4 linked regions of the Coturnix japonica genome follow. The protein of the gene in region 2 purifies or fractionates together with the protein of the main gene of each other region. This does not show direct contact. Links are inferred from orthologs where the notes say so. Each region holds a gene or a part of one and is shown on either strand. Other genes may lie near its edges. The genes, in order: TRIM33, SMAD4, SMURF2 and BTRC.

What was found.
Region 1: the proteins of SMAD4 (region 2) and TRIM33 purify together in Homo sapiens (affinity purification with western blotting; 7 studies listed by BioGRID and IntAct, with this or other methods). This does not show direct contact. The link is inferred for Coturnix japonica from reciprocal best matches to the Homo sapiens genes SMAD4 and TRIM33.
Region 3: the proteins of SMAD4 (region 2) and SMURF2 purify together in Homo sapiens (affinity purification with western blotting; 3 studies listed by BioGRID). This does not show direct contact. The link is inferred for Coturnix japonica from reciprocal best matches to the Homo sapiens genes SMAD4 and SMURF2.
Region 4: the proteins of SMAD4 (region 2) and BTRC purify together in Homo sapiens (affinity purification with western blotting; 7 studies listed by BioGRID and IntAct, with this or other methods). This does not show direct contact. The link is inferred for Coturnix japonica from reciprocal best matches to the Homo sapiens genes SMAD4 and BTRC.

The regions. Positions count from the first base shown.
Region 1 is NC_029541.1:3,873,117-3,880,566, forward strand, and holds the start of TRIM33 (E3 ubiquitin-protein ligase TRIM33), read right to left. Parts: upstream 4,677-7,450; 5' UTR 4,661-4,676; coding exon 4,216-4,660; intron 1,485-4,215; coding exon 1,366-1,484; intron 1,259-1,365; coding exon 1,111-1,258; intron 1-1,110. Other genes in the region: BCAS2 (pre-mRNA-splicing factor SPF27), read right to left, coding at 5,034-5,160, 5,476-5,556, 5,724-5,774, 6,055-6,216, 6,278-6,348, 6,554-6,646, 6,722-6,814; DENND2C (DENN domain-containing protein 2C), read right to left, coding at 7,032-7,063, 7,405-7,450. UniProt on the Homo sapiens protein: Acts as an E3 ubiquitin-protein ligase. Promotes SMAD4 ubiquitination, nuclear exclusion and degradation via the ubiquitin proteasome pathway. According to PubMed:16751102, does not promote a decrease in the level of endogenous SMAD4.
Region 2 is NW_015439872.1:56,126-63,670, forward strand, and holds the start of SMAD4 (mothers against decapentaplegic homolog 4), read left to right. Parts: upstream 1-2,878; 5' UTR 2,879-2,916; coding exon 2,917-3,331; intron 3,332-7,545. UniProt on the Homo sapiens protein: In muscle physiology, plays a central role in the balance between atrophy and hypertrophy. When recruited by MSTN, promotes atrophy response via phosphorylated SMAD2/4.
Region 3 is NC_029533.1:7,184,681-7,192,201, forward strand, and holds the start of SMURF2 (E3 ubiquitin-protein ligase SMURF2), read left to right. Parts: upstream 1-3,090; 5' UTR 3,091-3,419; coding exon 3,420-3,471; intron 3,472-7,521. UniProt on the Homo sapiens protein: E3 ubiquitin-protein ligase which accepts ubiquitin from an E2 ubiquitin-conjugating enzyme in the form of a thioester and then directly transfers the ubiquitin to targeted substrates.
Region 4 is NC_029521.1:19,978,036-19,984,821, forward strand, and holds part of BTRC (F-box/WD repeat-containing protein 1A), read right to left. Parts: intron 6,757-6,786; coding exon 6,638-6,756; intron 3,049-6,637; coding exon 2,938-3,048; intron 2,333-2,937; coding exon 2,254-2,332; intron 1-2,253. UniProt on the Homo sapiens protein: Substrate recognition component of a SCF (SKP1-CUL1-F-box protein) E3 ubiquitin-protein ligase complex which mediates the ubiquitination and subsequent proteasomal degradation of target proteins. Recognizes and binds to phosphorylated target proteins.

The sequences.
Region 1 (7,450 bases), on a different chromosome or scaffold from region 2:
ACTGTCAGAAACTTACAGATCTTCTAAATTATCACTCCAAAATCTTTATAAACTCATTAAGTCATGCCCAACTGAAGTGGTAAATGCAGAGCTAACATTCTTATGGGTCATAAAATTACTTAAGTCCCAGCTAAGCTAGAGAACTTTTCCACTTAAACACAAAGATACTGTTGAAAACACTTCTGGATTTACTAAAAAGGTGTTGTAAAGCTTTTTTGAGCTTGGCACAGAGGAAAGCAGCTTCTGGAAGGTACAGCAGGTAAAGCTTAAAACAAGTAAACGCATCGTAGTCCCCAAAATTTCTGAAGGTTGTTACGACATGCAAGTTATGGTAAAGAAAAAGAGCTCATGAATTGAAAGCTGACACAGCTATGTCCCTGCCATATGGACTTGCCATCAGACTCCACCTTCATAAAGTACATTACTGGAACAGTCATTTCGGGGCACCCCCCACTCAGTGTACATGGGGTTATATTATCACCCTGATGGCCACAGCAGTCCTAATGAAAAACATTACCAATCCTCTGCAGAGTCCTCTCATCTGACTTAACATTAATTGGTAAGTGCTTACTAGGGTTAATGCATTTAAAGTCAAATAATCTTAAAAGTCTACTTGATATAGCAAGCAAAACAAGATCATTGTCCACAGGAACTAAGCTTAGCAGTAATAGTTTTTAACCACTAATAAGATTTTGCCAAAACCAATGGCAGAAAGCAATGCAGCGTCACTACTCTGCAATAGCGCAACAGAGCAATCATGAAGATTTTAACTTATTTTAGATGGAAAAAAACAGCAAATCTGAACCTAACCCCTTTATACAGGGAGAGTTATATCTACCTGCTCTGGGAATGCTTGCCCCATTACTTCAGTAGACTGCAAACAACACTGTCAATCAGTAGCTGAGTAATTAACCTTTCCTAATGAAGCTGCATGTTTAAATTGCACATTCACAATGCACATTCATTTTTGCTAACCAGGAAATAAAACCTAAGAATGAATTCAAATTCCAATTGACTCAGCAACATCAACGCAGCTGTAAGACTATACTGAGCATGACTGTAAGCTTATCTGTATACACAGGCAGGACTAAACGATATCCAAACACTCACCTGACGATACATCCTCTTTTTTTCTAATCATGTGATCTTTAGTAAATTTCACTCGCTGATGAGCTTCTATGCAGGTCTTGCACAACCACTCCCCACACTCGACACAAAACCCAACAGCACTAGCATTATCTTCACAGCTTGTGCACACCTGCAAAGGGAAGAAAGGTCAGCTGCCATCACTTTCCTGGAAAGCATTAACATACACAGGGAAAAGAAACCAGCATGGGAATCCCAGCAAGCAGAAAAGCACCGTACCTGTTCTGATTTCTCATCAGAGCTGCTTGGTGTTTCTGATGTGTCTTTTACAAAGTAGTTATCCACCAGATCTATCTGCCTGCATTCTTGGCGGCATATCGGACATCTGATTACCCCAACTGAAAAACACAAAACGTTTCTTAGTTATAGGAAAAACAAACACAAAATCCTCGTGCTCATTTCAGCCATCGCCAACGCAGCCCACAGCGTTCTTTTAGTTTCCCCAGGTCTGCAACATGGGGAGTAAAAAAGCACCCCAAGGTAAAACAGACACAGAAGTCAGTCAGAAAGGGTATGACTGGAGTGAACTGAGGAGGAAAAGCAACCTCATTCTGCAGCAAATCACAATGCAAACAGAAAATGTTGTTAACATACAGCTGACAGCAAACAGGGAAGCTGCCCTTCTTGGCCAGGCCTGCACTGAGCACCAGGCCCAGCGTGACACCTGTGGGCCTCAGCAACCCACGTGCTGCCATCATCCTTGAGGACATTGACTGTAAAGAAACTGCTTAAGTTTTTCCTGTTGATTTTTATGACCTCAATTAGAGGCAGCCCCAAACTCCACCAAACCACCCAGGAGCAATCCAACTTCCTCACCCCTCAATGCTGTTAGAGCGAACCCCATTTCAGACACCTGTCCTTAAAGACAGGTTGGTTTGGGCTGAAACACGTCAGACTGGTTTCCAAAACAGAAGCATTAAGTTAATAATGAGTAAGTTCAAAACCCTTTCAGATGTTTGCATGGCCATAACGACGATAAAACTCCACAGCTCAGGAAATATTGGCAAGCACTTGTGCAACCCAGCAACTCCAACTTCCCTTCTGTGCTCACCCTTGGCACGTAGCAGCCCGCAGAGCAATGAACGCCTGCCATGTTCAGGGGCTGACAGCATCCATAGCAGTGACTGCAGGTACAAAGCACCCACTTCTATTGGGAATTTAAGTGCTCAAACACTTATTCCTAAAGATGCTGTAGTTATAAACTTTCCTTAGTGAAAACAATCACCATCCAGCTCAATTTAAGTGATAGTCACGTTTGTGTGGCTGTAACATCATTTTTATCTCCCCTCCCTTCCAAAGCTGATTAAAAATAGTTCCTGCATAATTTAAGATGTAATTTAATACAGTGTTTCCAAACCTTGGGTACAGGATTTGAATTCAGCATCTCAAAATAATTTATGTTTTTTCCTTGAGTTACACATCTATACGCACTGATCTTCGGTTTTCTTGGCCTTTCTGAAAGCATCTTGTAGCTCTTTTTTAGGCTTCCACCCTAATAAAGGCTGTCTATGTTGTGATGTTCATAAGGGGTTGGAGAACCACACATTCTCTCTACTGACCTCATCTTATGAGAGCATAAACAACAACCTCAGCAAAGCAGTGAGCCCTCGTAATAACCACTGTGTGCAGGTAAAGCAGCAGCTCTGGATGGGTAAGAAAGTAATCCTACAGCCCCACTGTGAAGTCTCTAACTTAAAAATAAGGGGTTTTAATACTGTGATTTAAAAATACAACAAGAGCATTTTCTTATGGGCTTCTATTCAACCTAAGGGTACAGCTGGACAGATGAAACTTCAGGCATTGAGAAATCACCTTCCCACCAAATGAAATGCACAAACCAATGACCTAAAACTGCTGGTACCCAACCCACACTCAAGCAGCTTTCACAGTTATTAGCCAATAAATACACATATTGATAACTTATAAGTGCTTATGGATAAAAATCTGATACTAATTAAGAAAACAACTCGATAGGAAACTATCAAAAGAATCAGTAATTTTCCATTGCAATTGTGATTTGCTTATGTAGGCACAGAAAAATAGCAGGAAAATGTGGATGCTTGCAGAGTAGCACAGCACAGAGATGGCCTTTGGTTGCCCATAACCCACTACAGGAATAGCCACACATATTATTCTCCAATAATTCCTTCATGAAGCATCTGCTCACAGCTCAGGATACTACAGATGTGTGTCATTGCTCTTTAGTGACCCGCTGCACTAACACACACAGCTCCAGCAGCAGGGATCCTGCACACACACCTCACTAGTGACATCTGTAAGGTCCTGAGCAACAGATGAATCCTTATCTCAGCCCAGCACACCATCAAGCACTCTGACAATGTGGGTGACAAGAATTGAGATTCCAGGTTAGCAGTAACTCTGTGGTTTGGCTGGACCCGCACCCCAGCAGATATAGTCACACAGTGCTGCTGATTACTGGTACAATTAGCCTAACTTCATGAGCATCTCCCGGTACACGCCATGTAAAACACAAAGTCTGGATGTAACAAGAAAGATCCCAAGCTCAGAGTGCTTCAGTTGGTGTGTTTAGAAACTACCATGGGAGATTCGTGCTTGAGGAAGCGATGCTCGGACCCATGGTCGGTTTGCAGCAGTCAGCACGGCCGGCAGAACCAGCACGGCCGGGAAATTCCTTGTGGGCCGTGTGACGACACATCAAAACGATACAGAGAGGAGCCCTCCCAAAGCCAAACAGGTGTCACCGAGCACAGTCCTGCCGGCCACGGGCTGAGTCCAACCTCCTTCCATAGCGCAGAATGTACCCGCGTGTCCCACCCCCGGACGGCTCAACACCCGGCAGCACCACGGCCCTAACGCTGCAGCCCTGGAAGCCAAAACAAGCAGCACGACGCCATCCACACCGCCATCCCCAGCGAGCACATGGACGTGCGAGCTCCGGCTTCACGTGGAACGGCGACACGAGAGAGCGGCTGCCACAGCCGGGAAGCAGAGCCCGGGGGATGGCGGCACCGCAATGCCGGCGGTCACGGACACAGCCCCGGCAGGAGACACGGCACAGCCCGGTATCGCGCCCGCCGCCCCGCTCACCTTGCTGCACGTCGCCGTTGGCTCCGCCGGGTACGGGCACGCTGAGCTGCCGCTCGGGCTCGGGCAGACAGCGGCGGCAGAAGGAGTGCAGGCACGGCAGCAGTTTGGGCTCGGCCTCGCGCCGGCTCTGCAGGCTCTGCGCGCACACGGCGCAGGTGTCCAGCAGCGAGAACGGCCCCGGAGCCGCCGGAGTCAGCGGGGGAACCGGGCTGGGGCCCGGCCCAGGAACCACCCCGGGCCCCGCCTCGGCCTCGGCCTCCCCGAGCCCACGCTCCGCCGCCGGTGCCGCTCCGGGGCTCTCCCGCTCCTCCGGAGGCGCCGCGGATGGCGCTGGCGGCGCCGCAGCCGAAGGGGACGCGGCCGCGGGCTCAATGGAGCCGGCTCCGCCCGGCCCGGGCTCGGCCGCCCCCTCCCCGCCGCCGCCGCCTCCTTTGTTTTCCGCCATGTTTCCTCCTTTGAACCCAACTCCCCGCTCCGCTCACGCACTGCGTCACCACGCGACGTGCGCGCTCCACGGCGGGAGGGCGGGGCGGGGGCGCGCGCAGGCGTGGACAGACGAGACGTGACGTCACGTGACGCACCGCCGGATAGAGCGCCGCCCACACCTCTCAAACGCAATTACCGACCGGCCGCGAGCGCCCCCACGCGGGTGGAGGCCGCAGCCACAAGTCGCAGCGCTGCTGATAAGCTGCTGATAAGCCCGGCGCTGAACAGCCCTTATCAGCCAGGAGGGGAGATAAGCAGCCTTTATTGGGCAAAGCAGTTTATTACAGCGCCGTAGGAAACGTACAAACACGGAGTTCAGGAGGGAGCAGCGTTCAGAAGTCCTGCTGGATGTTCTCCTTGTTGGCCTCCCCGTGCTGCTGTTTGATCTGGGATATCTCGTTCTCCAGCTGTACAATGGTCCGTTCAATCTCGTAGTTCTTACTGACAAGGGACACCCAGCTGCAAGGGAATGATTCATAGAGCATTAAGGTGTTTGCCATAACAAAGCACAACACCAACATCAGCCCCAACACAGCTCAGCTGACAGCAGGAGCAACCTGAACAAGGTTACAAGATGCTTCCAACTATTAAACCTCAATGTATAATGCAGGAAATGAAACGTTGTAAGGAAAAAAGGGCTAAAAACCATCAACACGGAGCTGAACCATGCACCCTCTAAAGCACCCTGTGCAAACCAATAGCAGCCGTGTGATGGTTTGCTATGACAGCACTGTTCCCCGTAAGGGGGTGTTAGAATAAATCCCAGCTACTCACGTGGATTCCATCTCTCGTAGCTTCGCTCCTGCTGTCAGCTGCATGTTCTTTCGTTGCCAGTTCAGATCCTGAATGCTTTTCCTGAGGGGAAAAAAACAACATGAAGAGACCTGTGTTGGTCTTGTCCTCCTTCATCTCATTTACTCATGAATGCAGTTTGAAATTGGCTGCCCTGGAAGCTCCTACCCCAAAGTAGGAGTTTCTATATCCCTTCCAACCTCTGTATAGAGCTATGAAAAACCACTCACCGCAACCTCTGAAGCTCCTTCTGGGCTTGTTCTATCATATGAACCAGGTGTCTGAGAGCAGAATGGAAGCAAAGCAAGAGAAAAAACACACAGTTACTAAATAAGATCAATTTAACCAGCCTCACATATAACCCTCCTAGAAGAGCCCAGCATGCAGCCATCCACTAAAGGCAAGCAGCTGTCTGAAACAGCCCCAGAGCTTCTCAAAGCCACACTTCCATGTGTTTCTTAGCCATTTCAACAGTGGCTTCAGGTGAGGAGGATCAGGACAGCATTATCTGCAGCCACCACACCACCATTTCCCATGCTGTCTCTCCATCCCCAGCCTTACTCATTGTACACCTTCCAGGCGTTGCAGCCGTGCTGGGACATCAGCTCCAGGTTCTCAATGCGCACTGCCTGGTGCTCCAGCTGCGCCATGGAGTTGTTAACACACTCCTGCCACGCCGTGATGTCGTTCTTCTGCCCGGAGGATGGAGCCGGTAGTTCATACCTGGAACGGAGCACGGTTCGGATCCCACCCAGAGCCAGACCAGGAGCCCCCCCTCACTCACCTCTTCATGCTGAGCAGCTCCAGGGGCTGCCGGGCCGCCAGGCGCTCAAACTCGTTCCGCATGATCTCGGTCTGCAGGGAGAGGGCAATAAGGGGCCGTGAGTGTCAATGAGGGGTTGTGAGGGGCCGTGAGGGGCCGTGAGGGGCACTGAGGGGCAATGAGGGGCACTGAGGGGCAATGAGGGGCACTGAGGGGCACTGAGGGGCACTGAGGGTCAATGAGGGTCAATGAGGGGCAATGAGGGGCACTGAGGGGCGGCTGGCCGTGTTGGCTCACCTCGAAGGCGCTGCAGTCGTGTGCCGGCAGGTAGCTCAGGTAGTTCTTCGTGGGCCGGTAGCGCCGCGTCTCCTCCTCCACCAGAGCCGCAGCCTAGCCGGGATCGCACCGCCTCAGCTCAGCTCAGCCCAGCCCAACCCGGCTCGGCCCGACCCGGCCCGCACTCACCGCCTCCCGCACGCCCGGCGCCTCGTATCCCTGATCGAAGTACGGCAGCGCATCCACCACCACGTCCCCCGCCACCAGCCCGGGCCCCGCCATGATGGTTACCACTACCGCGCATGCGCACACCCCAGGCCTAGACTCACGGCGCGGCCCCGCCCTCATCCCGCCCCGCCCACAGAGGAGAGGACACGCTGATTGGTTGCGGCACTGCGGCGTGTTATGGCGGCACGGAGCCGCCTCAGCTGCACAGGGAGCAATGAGTCCGGCCCCGGGATGGGGTTGGTTGTCCAACCGCCTCATTGAGGCTCCACGTTCATTTCTTCTGGAGAAATCTCATCTTACTTCCTACAGAAAAGAAAAACAACAAGAAAAAAAGCACGTTAAGCCTTCGAGACGCATCATTTGGACGCTGAATGACAGTTTCACACATAAAACCACAGAACAGCCTGGGTTAAAAAGGTTAAAAAGGTTAAAAAGGGCCACAATGCATCTAGTTCTAACTCCCTGCTATATGCAGGGTCACCTACCAGCAGCCCAGGCTGCCCAGAGCCACATCCAGCCTGGCCTTGAATGCCTGCAGGGATGGGGCTCCCACAGCCTCCTTGGAGAGGCAAAGGAAAGCAGCATGTGTGCACAAAGCGAAATACTGCAGGGAAATAAGCTAAATAAATGAGGTGTCTCTTTACCGAGAGTGCGAAGGATTCTGTTCATCCCTGTGGGCTCAGACTCGGG
Region 2 (7,545 bases):
GGGTCGTTGTAATTAGGGTCGGGTGCCTATAGTGTTTCGTTGTTGATAGGGTCTGTTATGTGGTCGGGTGTATAGGTCATGTTATATGCGTCTGGGTATATAGGGTTCTGTTATAGCGTCGTTGTTGTTGATAGTTTTGGGCGTGGTACTGGTTAAATATGGTGTCTAGTGTTAAGGGTCCTGGTTATGATATCTAAAGATCTATATGAACATAGATAAACCACCGTTGGTTATAGGGTCGGGTCTGGTTATAGGGTCGGGTTATAGGGTCAGGTCTGGTTATAGGGTCGGGTCCAGTTATAGGGTCGGGTCTGGTTATAGGGTCTGGTTATAGGGTCGGGTTATAGGGTCTGGTTATAGGGTCTGGTTATAGGGTCTGGTTATAGGGTCAGGTCTGGTTATAGGGTCTGGTTATAGGGTCGGGTTATAGGGTCGGGTCTGGTTATAGGGTCAGGCCTAGTTTGAGGCCTACTTCCGGGTTTTTAGGCCTCACTTCCGGGTTTTAGGCCTCACTTCCGGGTTTTAGGCCTCACTTCCTGTTTATAGGCCTCACTTCCTGTTTTAGGCCTCACTTCCGGGTTTTAGGTCTCACTTCCGGTTTTAGGCCTCACATCCGGTTTCCCCCACTTCCTGTTTCCCCCACTTCCTGTTTCCCCCCACTTCCGGGTTTTTAGGCCCTACTTCCGGGTTCTAGGCCCTACTTCCGGGTTCCACCCCCACATCCGGGTATTTTTTCCCTACTTCCGGGTTTATTGCCCTATTTCCGGGTATTTACACTCCACTTCCGGGTTTATTACCCCACTTCCGGGTTTTTTACCACTATTTCCGGTATTTCTGCCCCACTTCCGGGTTTCTCCCCCTACTTCCGGGTTTAATTGCACTACTTCCGGCTTCTTTGGGCCTACTTCCGGCTTTAAACCCCCCCACTTCCGGGTTCTGACCCCCACTTCCGGGTTCTAAACCCCACTTCCGGTTTTGCCAACACTCCAGCCCCACTTCCGGCCTTTTCACCCCACTTCCGGTTCGATTTGCACTACTTCCGCCCTTCCTCAACCACTTCCGGGTTCTCAACCCCACTTCCGGTCAGTTTGACCTTACTTCCGGGTTTATACCCCACTTCCGGTCTTATTACCCCCCTTTAAGCCCCCTTTTAATTCCCGTGCGGGCGGCGACGACAACCAAAAAAATAAACCAATAAAAAAAAATAACGAAAAAAAAAACCCGCCCGCCCGACTCGTTTTTTTCACCCCGAACCACATTGACGCCCCAAATCCCCGGATGTTCCCTCAAACCGGAAGTGACAGCAACAAAATGGCGGCGCCGCGAAGACCCGGATGTTCCCCCAACCCGGAAGTGACAAGCAACAAAATGGCGGCGCCGCGAAGACCCGCGTGTCGCGCATGCGCACTAGTTCTTTCGCATTATTCCGTCATTTTAAGGCCTAGAAACACCGGACAAAGCCCGTCCGCCATCTTGGCCCTTCCCGGTTGATGACGTCACGTCTTACCGTGTGTCCACGACGCCTCAAGACCCGGATGTAGCTTAGGCCGCTCCCCGTTGTGCGCACGCAACATGGAGGCGGCTCTTAAGGCCGCGCCGCGAGTGCCCGGATGTTGCGCATGCGCACCTCCAAACCCGGAAGTGCCTTCCAGATACCCGTATGTAACTCAAACCCGGAAGTCCCTCCAAATCCCCGGATGTACTGCGGGTTCCCAACCCGGAAGTCCCCGGATGTAACTCAAACCCGGAAGTCCCTCCAAGTCCCCGGATGTCACTCAAACCCGGAGGTCCCTCCCAGATCCCCGGATGTACTGCGGGTTCCCAACCCGGAAGTCCCCGGATGTAACTCAAACCCGGAAGTCCCTCCAAGTCCCCGGATGTCCCTCAAACCCGGAAGTCCCTGCAAGTCCCCGGATGTACTGCGGGTTCCCAAACCCGGAAGTCCCCTCTAAATCCCCGTATGTAACTCATGCTCACTCCCAAACCCGGAAGTCCCCTCTAAGTACCCGTATGTAACTCAAACCCGGAAGTCCCTCCCAGATCCCCGGATGTACTGCGGGTTCCCAACCCGGAAGTCCCCGGATGTAACTCAAACCCGGAAGTCCCTCAAACCCAGAAGTCCCTTGTAAGTCCCCGGATGTAACTCAAACCCTGAAGTCCCTCCCAGATCCCCGGATGTACTGCGGGCTCCCAACCCGAAAGTCCCCTCTAAGTACCCGTATGTAACTCAAACCCGGAAGTCCCCTCTAAGTCCCCGGATGTACTGCGGGCGTCCAACCCGGAAGTCCCTTCTAAGTCCCCGGATGTAACTCAAACCCGGAAGCCCCTCCAAGTCCCCGGATGTAACTCAAACCCGGAAGTCCCTCAAACCCGGAAGTCCCTTGTAAGTCCCCGGATGTCCCTCAAACCCGGAAGTCCCTGCAAGTTCCCGGATGTACTGCGGCTTCCCAACCCGGAAGTCCCCTCTAAGTCCCCGGATGTAACTCAAACCCGGAAGTCCCTCCCAAATCCCCGGATGTACTGCGGGTTCCCAACCCGAAAGCCCCCTCTAAATACCCGTATGTAACTCAAACCCGGAAGTCCCTCTAAGTTCCCGGATGCAGAAGTCCCTCCCAAATGCCCGGATGTAACTCAAACCCGGAAGTCCCTCCCAGATCCCCGGATGTACTGCGGGTTCCCAAACCCGGAAGTCCCCGGATGTAACTCAAACCCGGAAGTCCCTCTAAGTACCCGTATGTCCCTCAAACCCGGAAGTCCCTCCAAATCCCCGGATGTAACTCAAACCCGGAAGTCCCTCCCAAATCCCCGGATGTACTGCGGCTTCCCAACCCGGAACCCCCCCTAAGTACCCGGATGTGCTGCGTCCCTCCATCTTAGCGGCCTCCATCGGGCTCTCCATCGTTCCCGGTGTCCGCCATGTCCATCTCCACCCCCCCCAGCAGCAACGACGCGTGTCTGAGCATCGTGCACAGCTTAATGTGCCACAGACAGGGAGGAGAGAGCGAGACCTTCGCCAAACGAGCCATCGAGAGCCTCGTTAAGAAGCTGAAGGAGAAGAAAGACGAGCTGGATTCTCTCATCGCCGCCATTACGACCAACGGGGCTCACCCGAGTAAATGCGTGACTATACAACGTACATTAGACGGGAGGCTGCAGGTGGCTGGGAGGAAAGGGTTCCCCCATGTGATCTATGCGAGGTTATGGAGGTGGCCCGACCTGCATAAGAATGAGTTGAAGCACGTCAAGTATTGTCAGTACGCGTTTGATCTCAAGTGTGACAGTGTGTGTGTCAACCCGTATCATTACGAGAGGGTGGTGTCGCCTGGGATCGGTGAGTACAATGGGGTCCTATGGGGTCCTATGGGGTCCTATTGGGGTCCTATGGGGTCCTATGGGGTCTATGGGGTCCTATTGGGTCCTATGGGTTCCTATTGGGGTCTATGGGGTCGTATTGGGGTCCTATGGGGTCCTACAGGGTCCTATGATATAATGGGGGGAGATACGCAATTTGTGTAAGGGAGGCCATAGGAAATAATGGGGGAGATACGGAGTTTGCGTAGGGGAAGTTACGCAATTTGCGTAAGGGACTAGGGAGCCAATGGGAGGAGTTACGCAGTTTGCGTAAGGGCGGGGGGTTCGATAATGGGAGTTACGGAGGTTGCGTAAGGGAAGTTACGTAGTTTGCGTAAGGGACTATGGTGGTTAATGGGGGGGGAGTTACGCAAACTGCGTAAGGGGCTTCTATGGAGTCCTATTGAGTTCTATGGGGTCCTATTGAGTTCTATGGGGTCCTATTGAGTTCTATGGGGTCCTATTGGGTTCTATGGGGCTCTATGGGGTCCTATTAGGGCCTATGGGGTCCTATTGGGGTTCTATTGGGGTCTATGGGGTCCTATGGGGTCCTATGGGGTCCTATTAGATCCTATGGGGTCCTATAGGGTCCTATGGTGTCCTATTGGGGTCTTATGGAGTCTGTGGGGTCCTATGGGGTCCTATGGGGTTCTATGGGGTTCTATGGGGTCCTATTGAGTTCTATGGGGTCCTATTGGTTTCTATGGGGTCCTATTGATTCCTATGGGGTCCTATTGATTCCTATGGGGTCCTATTGGTTTCTATGGGGTCTTATTGGGGTGTATGGGGTCCTATTAGATCCTATAGGGTCCTATTGAGTTCTATGGGTTCCTATGGGGTCCTATTGGGGTCCTATTGAGTTCTATGGAGTCCTATTAGATCCTATGGGGTCCTATGGGGCTCTATGGGGTCCTATGGGGCTCTATGGGGTCCTATTGATTCCCATTGGGTTCCTATAGGGTCCTATTGGGGTCTATGGGGTTCCTATTGGGGTCCTATTAGATCCTATAGGGTCCTATTGAGTTCTATGGGGTCCTATAGGGTCCTATTGAGTCGTATTGGGATCCTATTAGATCCTATGGGGTCCTATTGATTCCTATGGGGTCCTATTGAGTTCTATGGAGTCCTATTGGTTTCTATGGGGTCCTATTGATTTCTATGGGGTCCTATGGAGTCCCATTGCATCCTATGGGGTCCTATGGGGTCTATGGGGTTGAAGCACGTCAAGTATTGTCAGTACGCGTTCGATCTCAAGTGTGACAGTGTGTGTGTCAACCCGTATCATTGGGGTCCCATTGGATCCTATGGGATTCTATGGGGTCCTATGGGGTCCTATGGGGTCCTATGGGGTCGTATTGGGGTCCTATGGGGTCCTATCGGGTCGTATTGGGGTCCTATAGGGTCCTATGGGGTCCTATTGAGTTCTATAGGGTCCTATGATTTAATGGGGGGAGATACGTAAATTGCGTAAGGGAGGCCATAGGAAAGAATGGGGGGAGTTACGCAATTTGCGTAAGTGAGGGCTCAGGTTACGCAATTTGCGTAAGGGAGTGCGGTAGTTATAATGGGGGGGAGATACGGAGCTTGCGTAAGTGGGAGTCGGGTTACGCAATTGACGTAAGGGAATAGGGGTTTATAATGGGGAGGAGTTACGCAATTTGCGTAAGGGACTACGGGGTTTATAATGGGTCCTATTGGGTTCTATGGGTTCCTATGGGGTCCAATGAGGTCTTATGGGGTCTATGGGGTCCTATTAGATCCTATGGGGTCCTATTAGATCCTATGGGGTCCTATGGGGTCTATGGGGTCCTATGGGGTCGTATTGGGATCCTATGGGGTCCTATTGGGTTCTATGGGGTCCTATTGAGTTCTATGGGGTCCTATTAGGGTGTTATTGGGATCCTATGGGGTCCTATGGGGTCCTATTGGTTCCTATGGGATCCTATTGAGTTCTATGGGGTCCTATGGGGTCTTATGGGGTCTATGGGGTCCTATAGGGTCCTATTGGGATCCTATGGGGTCCTATTGGGTCCTATTGAGTTCTATGGGGTCCCATTAGATCCTATGGGGTCCTATTGGGGTCCTATTAGATCCTATGGGGTCCTATTGAGTTCTATGGGGTCCTATTGAATCCTATGGGGTCCTATTGGATCCTATGGGATCCTATTAGATCCTATGGGGTCCTATTGATTCCTATGGGGTCCTATTGAGTTCTATGGAGTCCTATTGGTTTCTATGGGGTCCTATTGAGTTCTATGGGGTCCTATTGATTCCTATGGAGCCCCATTGGTTCCTATTGGGTCCTATAGAGTCCTATTGGATCCTATGGTGTCCTATTGGGTCCTATAGGATCCTATGGGGTCCTATTGAGTTCTATTGATTCCTATGGGGTCTATGGGGTCCCATTGGATCCTATGGCGTTGAAGCACGTCAAGTATTGTCAGTACGCGTTTGATCTCAAGTGTGACAGTGTGTGTGTCAACCCGTATCATTACGAGAGGGTGGTGTCGCCTGGGATCGGTGAGTATTGAGATACGCAATTGGCGTAAATGGAGGTTGGGAGGGTGGTTAAATGGGGGGAGATACGTAAATTGCGTAAGGGAGGCCATAGGAAATAATGGGGGGAGTTACGCAAATTGCGTAAGTGTGGTACGTAGTTTGCGTAAGGGACTATGGAGCCAATGGGGGGAGTTACGTAAATTGCGTAAGTGAGTAGGGCTTTATAATGGGAGGAGATACGGAGTTTGCGTAAGGGAGGGCTCAGGTTACGCAATTTGCGTAAGGGACTACGGGGTTTATAATGGGTCCTATGGGGTCCTATTGAGTTCTATGGGGTCCTATTGAGTTCTATGGGGCTCTATGGGGTCCTATTGGGATCCTATGGGGTTCTATGGGGTCCTATTAGGGTCTTATTGGGGTCCTATGGGGTCTATGGGGTCCTATTAGGTTCTTATTGGGGTCCTATGGGGTCCTATTGGGGTCCTATTGAGTTCTATGGGGTCCTATTAGATCCTATAGGGTCCTATTGAGTTCTATGGGATCCTATTAGATCCTATGGGGTCCTATAGAGTCCTATGGGGTCCTAGTGAGTTCTATGGGGTCCTGTTGGTTTCTATGGGGTCCTATTGGGTTCTATAGGGTCCTATTGGGTCCTATTGAGCTCTATGGGGTCCTATGGGGTCCTATTAGGTTCTTATTGGGGTCCTATTGAGTTCTATGGGGTCCTATTGGGGTCTATGGGGTTCTATGGGGTCCTATGGGGTCCTATTGGGGTCCTATTGATTCCTATGGGGTCCTATTGAGTTCTATGGGGTCCTATGGGATCCTATGGGGTCCTATTGAGTTCTATGGGGTCCTATTGGTTTCTATGGGGTCCTATGGGGTCCTATTGAGTTCTATAGGGTCCTATTGAGTTCTATGGAGTCCTATTGAGTTCTATGGGGTCCTATTGAGTTCTATGGGGTCCTATTAGATCCTATAGGGTCCTATTGATTCCTATGGGTTTCTATGGGGTCCTATTGAGTTCTATGGGGTCCTATGGGGTTGAAGCACGTCAAGTATTGTCAGTACGCGTTTGATTTGAAGTGCGATAGTGTGTGTGTCAACCCGTATCATTACGAGAGGGTGGTGTCGCCTGGGATCGGTGAGTAAAATTACGTAATTTGCGTAAGGGAGGCCATAGGAAATAATGGGGGGAGTTACGCAGTTTACGTAAGGGACTATGGTGGTTAATGGGGAGGGAGATACGTAAATTGCGTAAGGGAGGCCATAGGAAATAATGGGGGAGATACGGAGTTTGCGTAAGGGAAGTTACGCAATTTGCGTAAGGGACTATGGGGCCAATGGGAGGAGTTACGCAGTTTGCGTAAGGGCGGGGGGCTCCATAATGGGAGTTGCGCAATTTGCGTAGGGGGAGTTACGTAGTTTGCGTAAGGGTGTATAGGAGTCAATGGGGAGGAGTTACGCAAATTGCGTAAGGGGGTTCTATGGGGTCCTATTGAGCTCTATGGGGTCCTATTGGTTTCTATAGGGTTCTATGGGGTCCTATTGAGTTCTATGGGGTCCTATTGAGCTCTATGGGGTCCTATGGGGTCCTATTAGGTTCTTATTGGGGTCCTATGGGGCTCTATGGGGTCCTATGGGGTCCTATGGGGTCCTATTGGGATCCTATGGGGTCTTATTGGGGTCCTATGG
Region 3 (7,521 bases), on a different chromosome or scaffold from region 2:
TGTTTTTAGGAATTATCTCAGGAAAGTGCTGTTTTCACCTTTTCATTTACTCAGAAAAGCTTGACAGTAGTGGCAGAACTGTTCTCCTCTCTTGATATCATCACAGAAGCTGAGGAAGAATGTGGTATAACAGCAGCCAGCTCTCATTACTGCTGAAGGAATGTGCTGTGATTAAACCTCTATACAGAAAAAAACTGAATGTAATTCTTACATGTTGATTCGCTTTGAATGCATGCCACGGGCTGAGGAATGGGTTTCCAGCCTATTCTTCCATTTTTAAAGATGCAGAGGGCCTCACCTCCAAAAAATTGACTATCCAGTTCTGAAAATGAGGAGCATTTGGTTAAAGACATTTGTTCATATTTTCCAGTATCCAAAACCACCAAATCCCTTGAGATCTCTGAATGCAAAGCCTTTTTTTTTTCTTCCTATTGGGAAATTCAAGTGTCAAAGCCCTTTTCTGTGAAGCCATAGAACAAAAGTTGTTTTTGTATTTCTACATATTCCTTCAAAGGTTTCACTAACACATTACCAACTGCTAAATTATTTCATCCTCCCAGCGTCCTCTACAGATTCCTGAGCTCACTCCCTTTCTACAGAGCCCTTGAGACTGTGTCTCAGCTGCTGACTGCTGGCTGAAGAAGACTGGATGGGACTCCCTTCTGAGTCCAGCAGCAAGCTGTCATCCAAAAAGTGAGCTGTGGGGTGATGCAAGACACTCCCTTCCCTCCGGATCTGAGTTAGCTACCTCATCTTGAAAGGATTTGTGGCTCAGCGATATCGGCTTAGAGTGAAATACAGATCACTTGTCAGCAGTTAATGATAATATTTACTTGCTTACCTCACAAGATCAGCACTGTAAAGTGTGAAACCTCTGCTCACCCTTGAAAATGAACTCCATAAACTCAAAATTTACTGTAAGCTGTTGGCTTAAAGGCAGGATCAGTGAGATCTCTGTTCCATTATTCTGAATGCTTTCAGAACTTGGGGGATAGCACTGGCACAAGAAACAATTTGGATCATAACGGTAATGTGGAATTCTTCTGTTGGAAAAGTAGCACTTTCAATCATCAGGTACTGTCAGTGTTTTTGGTATCCTGCATTCCCTGCAGCTCTTGGCTCTCTGTGAGACTTCCTGACCTCTGCTCATTGCAGATCCTGCACAGATCCTTCATTGAGCTGCTTGTCTTAAATTCCGCTTGGCAATTCTACTCAGCAAAGGGGAGCAATGAATAAAAACTCTAATTTCCCTACAGAAAATTGTGAGATTCCGTGGGGCAGAAGCATCTGTAGAACATCCAGGCTACAGACATTGTAATGCTTATACAAAGCCAGAAAGGAAGAGAAGAGCATTTTGCATCTGGTGCATTTGTCTATTCAAGTGCAACCTGATTGAGATCATTTGTACTCACACGAGTCAAGGATGAAGTCCTGACCTAAACGGGGCAAGTATCATGCCTGCAAGATGCTAACCCCCTCTTCTCTTACTCTATTAGATACATACATACTGAACAGAACTGCCTTGTGTGTGCATGGCAGTAATAAATATTGTGCATTTTATACAGCGACACAAAAGTGTGAGCTCCCAACTGATGCTCCAGCACTTCACAGTATTTTCATTGGAAGCTGAGCAGTCTGAAAGAAGGTTCTCTACTAACATTTGCTATCTCTGTATTTAACAGGCAGCTTTGAAGGAAACAGACACAACCCTGCCTGAGGAAGGACTGCTTTGTTCCCAGGTGAAGGGACATTGGAACAGCAGTGCCACTGCACAGAAAATTTGCACCTGGAAGGATCTGGTGCTTGAGACACGCTATGGGACAATGGAGACGTGAGTCTGTGCATACAGGGGGGGACCCTTTCATAGAACCATAGAATGGCCTGGGTTGAAAAGGACCACAATGCTCATCCAGTTTCAACCCCCTTGCTGTGTGCAGGGTCACCAACCACCAGAACAGGCTGCCCAGAGCCACATCCAGCCTGGCTTCATTTTAAAGGGGAAAACTTTGAGAGCCATATCCTACTTGTGAGGCCTTCAATGGGACAAAATCAATTCCTGCTCCTAGATGTGATTTAATGAGGTCCAAGCCCCAAACTCAGCCAAGATGAGCCAACTCTGGACATGCTAGTTCAGTTCTGTGCTGTATGCAGCTTCAGAAAGTGAACACTGGGCTATGCAGAAGCTACATTACAAACTCTGCAAAGCATTGGTCATCTTTTCATCCCGTGTTTGGATCTTGGTACTCAGGTTGGATCTTAATCTATGACCGCCCTTATAGTAATACTTAACAGGTTGGCTCAGCAGGAAGAAGTCAGTGCAATGACACGACTGAGTGAGATGCATGTGAACATACAGAGCATTAGTAAGGTTATTAGTACGAATAGGTGTGTGGTTTATTAGCTCAGTCTTATAAGGTAAACTTTACTGTGGCAACTTTACAGCTTTTCCGGGAGCTTTTCCCGGCCTTCAGAGCCCGCTTGGCATTGATGTGAGCCCTGCGCTCCCCTCCCTCATGGGAGATGTGCAGGAGCTGGACAGACTGTGGAAGGAGTCACCTTTCCTGCAGGATGGAGCTAAATTAGGCCTCACAATGGGAATGTGAGGCCTTTTTTTTTTATTTTTATTTTTTTTTTGGCAATTAGCACAACCGCGCTGCTCATTTTAAGCAGCACAGACAAGCAGCACATCAGCTCAGAGTTCATTGCTCCCATGGCAAGTCTGCTGTGCCCCATCCACCCAAAATATTGCCCCAGATTGCAAGCACTCCCGCATGGCAGACCTATTCAGTTTAGCCCGGCTTTAAATGTATTCCTATGCTGTTTCTTCTCACGTGTACCTTTGTCCCCCCACCCGTTTCTCTGGCTTCCCTCCTTCCACACCTCGGTAATTCCTCCCGACTCCCCCCAGTCTCGCCGCCACCTGATGCAGCCCCCATGGGGCATCCCGCTCACATCGGCCCCAGCCCCGGGACGGAGCGGGACTCGGGGTGGGCACTCGGCCTCGGCCTCCAACGGAGCACAGAGCAGAGCAGAGCCGAGCACAGAGCAGAGCCGAGCACAGAGCAGAGCAGAGCCGAGCCCGGCCTGCCCAGGGGAGGGGAGGCGGCCGTTCGCTGCTCCGTCCCGGCTTTGTTGTGCTCGCCGCCCGGGCTGCGGGTTAGGGGGCGGGGAAGCGAAGGGAAGGGAAGGGAAAGGAAGGCGGCCGCGTCTCCTCCTCCGCCTCCTCCTCGGCCCCGGCCCCACTCATGGCGACGCTGGGCACATCCGGGCTTCTCCTCCTCCTCCGGCGGCCGCCGCTGCCCTGAGCGCCCGAGCCGACTCCATTAGCGCGTCCCCTCCCCCCCCGTCTCCCTTCCCGGACCCAGAGGCAGGGGGAGCCCCGGGCAAAGCAGCGCCGGGCCCGAGCCGCGGCCGGGGACATGTCCAACCAAGGGGCTCGGAGGAACGGGCCCGTCAAGCTGCGGCTGACAGGTGAGGCTGAGCGCGGCGGCGGGGAACTGCGGCCGGGCCTGCATAACGCTGTATAACAACGCTGCATAACGCTGAATAACGCTGAATAACGCTGAATAACGCTGAATAACGCTCGGGCACGGGGCGAGCAGCAGCGGGGCTGTGCGGGACGGGGCGCGGCGGGGAGGGGAGGGGAAACCCGCGGCCACGGGGGAGCGAGTTCCTGGAGCGGCGGGGAGCCCCGGCGAGCCCAGCTGGAGGGTGGGAGGGAGCGAGCGAGCGGGAGCTCCTCCATGTGTATTTGAGGTTGAACCTGGGCTTGGAGGCGGCTCTCAGGCCTCGTGAGGAGAAGGGGCAAAATACAGACAGCGAACTCTTCCCTCTCCTCCCGTCCGCTCCCTCAGTGAGGGCAGCTCCCCGTGGGCCGCCCGCCTCGGGAACAAAACGCCAGCGGGAGCCGTGTGGTACCGGGCACCTCAGCCCCGTCCCGCCGCCCCCACCGCTGGGTTTCGCTTTTTTTCCTTCGCCTTCTCAGCGTGAACTTGAAAGAAAGTGACACACGCTTTGTTTTCATCTCTTTGTTTGTTTCTTTATATATATATATATTTTCCCCGAGCCGACTTCCTTAGTGAAGGTTGTACACAGTCGGTTTGACACGGTGCCTTGTGTGGGCAGCTTTCTCTCAGAAGACCACTTGACCTCGAATGCTTTAAAATAGCATTAAAAAGCTGCTCACCTGCGTGCAGGGAAGGAAAATACGCTATTTCCAAGCACTTGAAGTGTTATGATCCTTTACATGAGAGAACCAGGTACATTGATCGAGAGAAGGAACACTGGAGCTCTCTTTAAAAAAAAATAAATAATACAGCGAAGTTAATAGGACAGAGCTGCTCCAAAGTGATGTAAGGCCCTCCCCCAGCTGATAAATCCTATCTTGGGTTCCAAAGTGTGAGTGCTTGAAGGTAAGCCGTTAGAAAGCAGGAGATACATTGCTTCAAATACTCTTATTTGCAGATAGTGGGTTTAACCAGCTTGCAAAACAAATATGTTTTAACAAAAACCTGAAGGAATTGGAACATTAACTATAGGCACATCTGAAATATTTCCAGTTTGATGTCATATAAATACAGATGTTTTCATATTTATTTTTTGCAAGCGTGCTGTTTTTATAGAGGAGATGCAATGTATGTTTTGCTGTGGAAGTACCTTGGACTAAATTTATAATGTAATTTTCATTGAGATGTGTGAATGCCTATATAATACAGTGAGAAATGAAATCTGTGAGCTAAATGTGGCTGGGACCGATGCATGGAGCAGTGCTGCCTGTTTGTACAGTGCTTGGGAGCTTTTTCTTCAGGTTACTGCTTTATTGATGCAAAACTTTAATGCTTTTTTTCCCTTTGCTGTGAGTGCTCAGACTTGCTTATCTTCGAAACATTGCGAATAGTCTGGAGCCTTTAGTAAAAGCCTGGAAAATACTGTTCAGGCGGCTGTCTGCTTCACCTTTGGGTTTTGTATTCTGTTGTGTTTTATTTTGATTAAGGATTAAGTACGTCTTCTAATCCTGTCTTTGACAACATAAATATGTCAAGGGGAGTGTAGCTGTGAGCAATAGGCAGTGGTTGTATGTACCGAGTGGTTCCCAAAAGAAGCAGGTACGTTCTTGAGGAACGATTCTGAGTTTTTCATTACCTGTTTTTTAGGAGGGGTGGCTGCAGAGCAATGGATTCAAAGCAAAGTCGCCTTTAGAGAGAGACTGCTCCACTTTTAGCATCTCTGTGCAGGCGCTGAGAACCGGTTCTGTTATTTGGAAGCTTACATGAAATATTGACCTATTTCTCAAGTTAGAAAGACTTGAGGTATTTTGTGCTTTAGCAAACTGCCTGTTGTTTTTTATGCGGTCGTTGGTTGTAGGGAAGCTTTATATGCTTAAGAAAAGTTGTTACAAACATTGGATTTTATTAATTGAGCTGACACGGTGTCAGTCCTTGCATAGGAATAGATCTAAGTGTACTTTGTGGCTTTGATGACCCTTTTTGATTGGAAAAGCAGTTTGAGAGCTCTCAAATTCTAGAACTGTTTGGAATTAAAGGAATCTGTATATTCCAGTGTTTTAAAAAGTTTATTTTCATGCTTGCAAATGCTATATAACCTTAATTTTCTTTGGCTTTATGATGCCAGCAGTCTTCTGTTCTGGCTTGAATATTTATAGGATTAATTCTGTAAACATTGTGTAACACTTATCTTTCCTATTTGTTATCTCTAAATTAGATACTATAGATTGAAAAAAATAAAAAATAAATGGATTCAAGAACTGGATTCAATTAGCAGTTTTTCAGGACATAAACATTAAAGGTTTAGATGGAAAACATTGTTTTGACTGACTGGATAAATGACAGGGTAATGTTTGATGTGAGTCCAAGAGCTGATCTGTAGTAGTGCCCAACTTCTCAGTCGATCCCGAGGAGCCAAATAAAATATTGAACCTAGGCCTCATTTTGCAAAAAAGGTTGATTCTTTGTTGGGACCTTAAGAAAGTTCTGAGAAATGTTTGGCATACCTTTACACTAAGTGTTTAACAGTTTATTTAGGTCTGGGTTCCATAACAGAGAGAAACCACAGCGGTGGCATACTTCTAGTAAGTTTTTATTTGGTTTGCAGTGCATCTGTGTTATAAATGTTCCTTCAGAGGTTCTTCTTCTGCTTGTAGTCGTCATCCGCTCATCCTCTCCCACACTCAGTGTGAGTTTTTTCTGTGTTTTTATTTATTTATGGATTTGTAGATTCGCTGTTCTCCCGACCATTCCCACCCTGAGTGTTAAAGACTGCATTGATCTCATATTCTTCAGACTGAGGAATTAACTTTGCTTTCAGTTGCGCAGTAAATATTTGGTCTCAACCTGTGAATTACCTGGTGTTGGAGCAGCTACATCTGACTGCTCTGACATACAGTAATGGTTGTCTGAGTGAATTCTGTCTGTATCAAACAGATATTTTTAAGTCACTTTGAAATCTTCAAAATTGCACGGCTGCTCAGATGTGAGCTGAATAAAGGTTGATGCGTAATTTAATCTATCTCTGCTCTTACAGCTAGTGCTTGCTGTCGGAATAGTTAACAAGTGAAGATGCTTTGATAGTCACAAAACACGTTTACACCGTACTGTAAAAGGTGGTAACAAGTATTACAGATAATATGGGAATGAGGTGGGCTGTGTTTGTTGGTGAGGCATTGCAGGTGGGTTTTTCCCTCTTACCATAAGGCTTTTGGGTTCCTTAGCAGTTTGGTGATAACTAATAATAATAAATATTTATTTTATTTAGGAATAAAAGCATTGGATCTTTGTAGAAAAGGGGCATCATTTCATCTTCTGCCTCTCTTGTTGATTTTATTGTGTTTTGATGGATAAAGTACCTACCTATATTCTGAAGTATCAAGGTCGTGGTTTTGTGGTTGACTGACATGGTATCAGAGTTGTTTCTTCTGGCCTTGTAGTCTCTGGATCCACTTGGCCCTACCGGGTGTTGCTTCCAGCAACTATGTAGCTAACTGTGTGATGAGTGGAAGGCTAATCTGAGCAAGAAAAAAGGCTTTCGTGTGTTGAAGGGTTGTAGAAGGAGAAACTGAAGGGAGGGCAGAACTGCAGTTTGGACCTGCAGCCTGTATTTAGATGGTCTTTAGTCCACAGTAAAACAATAGGGTTCCTTCAAGGAAGATGTACTTGACTTAATGACACGACTTACTGAAAACTAGTACCTAAGAAATTGGAATTGATATATTACGTAGTAGCATGATTAGATGGCTCCAGTAATGACAAAGTCAATGGGCATGTATGTAGTAAGATCGAATAGGGATTGATGGCCTTCTGTGTTTTCATAAGTGTTGAGTGTGGTTTTTTGTGTATATATAGACATATACTTTAGATGTGTATAGCATTTATAGCTGTGGATATTTCTATACGTATAAATCAGTTGTGGATTGTGATACACAACATAGGATTGTGATAAACAGCAGAGCAGTCTCAACAATGTGTTTCAATGAGATCAGCTTATATGACAAAGTTTTATTCATCT
Region 4 (6,786 bases), on a different chromosome or scaffold from region 2:
GTTCCCAGATGCTGAAGGTTACAGGGGGATTAGGATTTTGCAGTCAAGGCTTGGCAACACTGCTCCTGCTCAAGAGGGAAAAGCTTAACACTGGAGGACACTAAGGAGCCTGTTGTAAAGAAGTCCAGTGACACAGTAATAATTCCTCTTAAGCAGTTCTAAAAATATGAACTAGAAAGCGCATTCTTTATAGGCAGCTTGCATTCTGCTCTGAGGCTGAGTGGAAATGGCATGACGACTTGGCAAGAGTTCAGACTGTAATTAACAGGAGGTAACAGAAAGATCCTGAATATCACAAAGCAAATCCAGAAGGCTTTCCCTTTTGCACTGGCTGCTTTTTCTTGGTGCTTACTGCCACAGGAGCGAGCAGCAGCCTCCTCAGGAAGAAGGGAACAGAGACCATGCAGTTGGGACAAGCCCTCTCTCTCTAATACACATCCCTCTGTGGCCCAGGGTCAGAAAAAAAAATGCTCAGAAGCATTTTACAGCTTTTTCAAATATTTGGACAAAAGAGAAGCTTCTAAAACGGAAGGCTGTGTCTTATGGCACAGGACTCTGAAAATACAGCTTGGTTTAAAAACACGGAGAGAACAGAACAGCTGCCTTATAGGGAGCCTCTGAAGCTCTAAATCAAATACACACAATCCAAAATCAGATTCTATTTTGATGACAATTTTATTATAGAGCCCAATCATTGGGACCTTCCTGGTCTTCTGACCCAATAACCCTAGTGCACCTTACAAGCACTTCATGGGTTTACTCAGTACTAAAAAGAAAAGCATTTCCAGACCCTGTATCCCTGTATTGTATCAGTGAAGTAAAGCAATTCTTGCTAAAAAATATCACTACAATGGCCAGATCCACTGATAGACCCTTAGCAGATGCACCAAGAGAGAAGTGTTTCTACAAACTATTTTGAAAAGCCTTTTTCCTCTCAGCCACTGTAGGCTAAGACTGCCCTAGAAGTTCCATGCAGCCATCCCCATTGCATTTGCAGTGACAATAAGCAGACTGCACACCCTAAGCTGAGGCTGCAGGAAGCCGGGCCCTTCAGCTCAGAAGGAGAGTTGTGCTGTTTGCTTTTTCTGTGCCTGGAAAGCTTCTGTGACACTCGTGTGGCTGCTGTTCCAGCTAACGGGAGGGACCTGGCACGCAGAGAGCATTTGTTATCTGTGCACTTTCCTCCTACTGTTTGAAAATTGAACACGAGCAGCGGGAGACTCACGATGTTCATTGTGCAGCCAGGTTTAATTTTGGAGGCCGAGAGAAGAGAGGGGGAAAAAAAAACCACCACAACTATGGGTAAGCGGGTATAAGGACGCCCTGTTGTCATAAACATGAAAAGCCCTAAAAGCACTACGACAGCCTCCTCTGCCCCTCCTCTTCTGGCCTCCTCCATCGCTATCAAACAGGGATTTATGAGTATCCATGTGTCGAGATTCCTACAGTGTTTCCATCCCACCGCTTCTGATTTATAATACAATTAGTTGGGGCACTTTGGCTGTCCACTGCTGGAAAATGCAGAGGAAATCGCACCAGTTAAATTAAGTCTACAGGTTACTAGGCACACATTTGTCTCGGGCTGGAGCAGAAACACCACTAATATCACACTGAAGTCTTGGACTCTCGGGATACGTGTTCATGGGCACAGAGCTGTTCCACAGTTTGCAGCTGGGTGGCTGATGACAAAAAGGTTTTCTGGATTTCAGCCATGAAACTATTTGTAGTTCTCTGTGGCTACCAAGGAGGTTTTTCAACACAGCATCTGCAGGCATCCAAGGCTCTCACTGACTCTTACTCTGCAGCTTATGGTACAAATATAGGATTGGAGAAGAGCTAGTGTGGCTTAATGACCTACTGCCTGTCAACCCTCAGAGCCTGTGCAAAATGTGAAGCAAAATACTTTAGTGAAATTTGGGTGGTAGATGAGGGTGCAGGTGAAAATGAAAAGGTTGTTTTTGTGTGTTTATTTTCCCCATCAGATTTTGGAATTTACCGCTTTTCTTTAAGAAACTCCCTGCCAACAGCTCATGGAAAAAGGCACAGTTAAGCAAAGCCACCAACACATGAATTCCAAGCACAAGTCTCAAAAATGACTTAGTTCTTAACTTCAAATCAAGAAGCCAGATCTCTAGAAATGACTTTTAGATCCTGCAGGCTGGTGCTAAACTGACTTGAATTTCCATGGCTCAAGACAGCCCTGAGCAAGAACACTTTCCTTCTCCCTTCACCACCCTTACCCAATGCTCTTACCACAAGGGTTCGTAAGCAGAGAGTCCCAGCTGGAGCACGGGGGTCCAAAGCAGCCACCAGATCCCATACCTTAATTTTCCTAGTAGTGAAAAAAATAGAGAAACACACATCTCTGTTAAAAAGGAAAGGTGAAGTGCTCACAGGAAAAGAGAACAAACAAAAAGCTGTTAGTGCAGCTGAGCTGATACAGCAGCTCAAGGAAAATTACAGGAATCCTGCTCCTGTAGTTCTTGCACTTCTCCTTCATAATGCTCATAGAACTTAAAGGGAGAAAGGAATACGCTGTTGGCAAAGTAAAACATAAAAAAAGCAGGCAATAGTAACTAACAGAAACATATGGGAGGGTTAATGCACGCTAGTCCTAGTGGCAAATGGATCAGAAGACAACCACAGAAGGGAAACACTGCTCTTACCAATGGCTGAGCTAGAAGATGTTTCACATCAAGTCTACCTGATATTTTTATGAGCTAAAGAAATGGACCACATGTATCAAATCACACTGACATTTTGAGAAGGAAGAAACAACAACAGGTGTATGTTGTAGAATCAGCCTGACTTACTGGCCATGACAGGAAACTCCTGGTATGACAGACAAGAAATCTAACTCTTATAAGGAAGATCCAGCAAAGTGGGATGTGAGACACTGAGAAAGACAGGAGGATGCAAGGCATTAGCCAGCCTCACCCATCATATGCTCCGCTGACTATCCTCTTGTTATCAAAGCGTATGCATCTCACCAGCTCTTCGTGGCCTTCCAGTACTCGCAAACATGCCCCACACTCGATATCCCACAGCCTGGAAGAGATCAGGAAGAAGCACTGAGAACTTCTGAATTTCTGATTATTTCAAGGAAACGTTTGGCCTTTGCTTGTAGTTAATGAAAACTAGGGGATAAAGTTTATGATGAAGCACCAAAGAACAAACAAACTATTCATCACTCCTTTTCCTGCAGTTCAACTAATGCATGTTTTTCAACAAGACTCTGTTATGTGACAGTATCACGTGGGGGATTATTCGGATACCCAAGCATTTTAAGATCAGCCATGCCCACCATCTACTTCGCTATTAACACAAGACACAGGATATCTCCCAGTTATCTTCATGAGCAGCCTGACTTTATTTTACTTAAGTCAGATTTTCATAAAAGTATCTCACTTTGATTTGAAGATGTTAAGTGAGAGACTCACCAGACCTCCTGGACCCTTACTCCAAAGGTAAAAGCACCTTCACAAGACACACACCCCTTCTATGCCCCTACACGCCCTATTTATGATTTGCAAACTAACATCAGACAAATTGTGCATACAGTGGTGAAAGGTACAAGAACTTACAAGCCCTTTATATTTGTCACTTTCTCCCACTGAAGGTGTATTCGCTCTGTAACGAAGGTAACTTATGCATAAGCTAAAATGGGCATTCTATGTGTATTTGTAATGCATTTTCTTCTTGTGCTCAAATGATTTTCTAAGAAGTAAGCCTATTTTTTTTTTTTTTGATACTTTTGTCAGCTCTTTGTGGGGATTCCCAATTAGAACAGATAAAGAGAAATAATTTGCTGACAAGAACTGAAATTCTTGACATGTACTGTTTGCAGGTGTTCCACCTCCAGATGACATGAACTTGGTTCACAACAAATGGAATCTTTCAATAGCAGTATCTGCTGAGGCTCTGACACACAGCTGAGAAAAAGCAGTCACAGATGTTCTTGAATGCTCGTTCAATTAGAGTTCAGACTGACAGGGACTTCATGGTAGTGAGGTTCATGGTTCACGGAATTTGTCTGGGTGACACCACGCAAAGAAGTACAGCTGCTATGGGGTCAGGTCACTTTTCCTTGAGAAACTGAGAGAGAGATAAATCGTCCCCACATACTTCAATCCCGAGGTCCCCCAGGGAATAATCCAGACCCAGTGGATGTGTGCCCGAGGATGGTGGGTAATCATTTCATCTGTCCTGCTACAACAAGCTGCTCTCACTACGGAAGACTGGGGAATGAACAGAACTCTTCTGTTCTATAACTGCACTGGGAAAGGGTTAGTTTATCACAGAGGTTGGAAAAGACCACCAAGATCACTGAGCCCAACCATCAACCCATCACCACCACGGCCACTAAACCATATCAATAGGTGTCACACATCTGAGGCCAAAGAGGAACAGAAGATGATTCCTCAGTCTGTGAAGCTGAGTGTTCATCAACCTGTGAAGACTCCAAAGGTTTTTGCATTAGCACCAACATACCAGTTAAGGTCAGAGAAAGCAAATCCATGCTAAAGTTCAGCCAAAGGCACTCTGGCTGGTCAGAGAGCATTACGTTTCCTGCCAAGGACTGCAAATGGGATGCACAATGCCAGAAATGAATTGGTGCAGAAAGGTCTGAAGAGCAATCCTGTGCCAGGAACTTTTGTGCCATGTGTTTCCACTCCTTGCCATCAATCCTGAGGTTGCCAGCAGCTTGGCAAGGCTGCTCCGCATTGAATTAGGCTTGTATTATCAGGTCCTAGTCTGAGGTTTTTAACTGAATTTGACTGTGATTTAGAAAAGACGATTGCAACCCTTAGCTCTGAGAGCAATGGGCTTCCACACACAAAAGGAGTAACTGTGTATGTAACTATGTAAGAACAGCATATCTAGAATTGGTTCTAAAGGAACCTCCCAGATTTGGTTATCTCCTCAAATTTCTACTTCTTTAAATAGTCAAAGGACCAAGCAGAAACAAAACAGAACTTAAATCATTTTTATACACGGAGTCTCTCTACAGGAGAAAGTTACTGATTTCTCGGCTACTTCCTTATCTTCACGGTTGAAGAATGAGTAATCACACAGTAATCACACACAGTCAGCTCCTTTTGCAAAAAAAAGTTTGCCTGTAACCGAGGAATGGCCAACTTCAAATTCAATACCAAGAGGCAATCCCTATTAAAGGCCAACACAACATCTGGTATTTTACAATGGATTAAAATCAAACATGCAAAACACCGAGCCACCCACGGAGAGGACTTAGTAACCTGCCCTTGCTTAATCACTCTTCCTCTGACATGTGCCTTCTGCTAATGGCTGGGAGGAAGCTACGTGAACAGGTAAACCTTGTGCCCTGCCCACACAGCTGCCAAATCTGACTTCCATTAAGATTCACTGCCAACATTCCTGAAATTCTAGCACAATTTATCTGTCAGTTAGGGATTTTGTCCAGTGTAAGCATAAAAGTCATCGCACTCCTCTTTAGCATTATCACTACATTGACATTTATTTTTATTAGTATTACGTCTATTTTAGATCCTTCCCTAAACGGTGCAGTATTTAACTATTTCTTACTCTGAGACCAAGTTTCATAGTACAGAAGCAGAGGGTTATTTTTTCCATCTGGAGTTTTTACTACATATATGGTGCTACTCTTACACAATGTCTATTAATAGTTTTTGCCTTGATAAAGAGACAGACACCCCAGCTCTTTAGCTCATGCTTTCAGGCAACCACACACTAAAACCCAGTGCAACAATCCAGTGATGACTGTCAAAGGACCTCCATTTTCCAGAGCGCAAAGCATGGAGAAGCACTGTTTTGCAAACAAAGTCCACAGACAAACATCTGCGTGAATCACTCTCACTGAGGAGAAATAAATTCTAACATCAAAAGTGAAGACTTTCTGCTTAGGCTGTCCAGGCTTCCAGTTTTATCAGAAGGAACACAATTCTTCAAAGCAGTGATCAATTCAAAATGGAGGCACCTCTTCCTCCTGCTTGAACGACAGAGCCGCTTCCCCACACAACTTACACTCCTATTCCAGCTTGCTGAGTACTCCCAGAGATAAGTGGGGCACCCCTCTGCCAGCAGCTGCTGGATGTAGGGAGAAATCCTGGCTCACGATACCAGAAGGAGTTAAATCTCAGATTGCAGCAAGGGCAGCTGGAGAAGTGCAAAAGGCAGCAAACTGAACTTCATGCTCTAAACCAGCTGTTCCAAACTTAACCCGGTGCCAAGTACCACAAGAAGAGCTTGGCCAGAGCCCAGGAGGATTTCTGCAGAGGATTAAATGCCTCTTACTGCAAATCTGACCCCTTTAACTAGACACATAGCCCAATTAAAATATCACAAGAGGACATCACAGAAAGTGTTACTTGCCAGCTCTTTCATACACCAGAATTGTCAGAGCAATGGAACTTGTTGATTAGTATGGGACTCCTGAGATACAGGGGATGAAAGACAACACAGTAAAACAGACTTCTAATATCTCTTCCCAGTAGTTCCCAATGTTCTCTACCAAAGGAAGCATATTTCAAGGAAGACAAGGGTACAGAGCACTTTGCTTGCCTAACCTCCATGCATCCCAGGGAATCAGAGACAACATGCTTGCAAAGAACTCTGCAACGGGGAATGTGTCTCTCACCTGATAGTATTATCTGAAGAGCCGCTCACTACTAGCCTGTCTCTGTACTGCAGACATGCAATGCCTCGTTTGTGGCCATTTAAGGTGCGCACAAATTCGCAGGTACTAGTGTTCCATACCTGTGACAGGAAAGGTGAAACCACACAGAT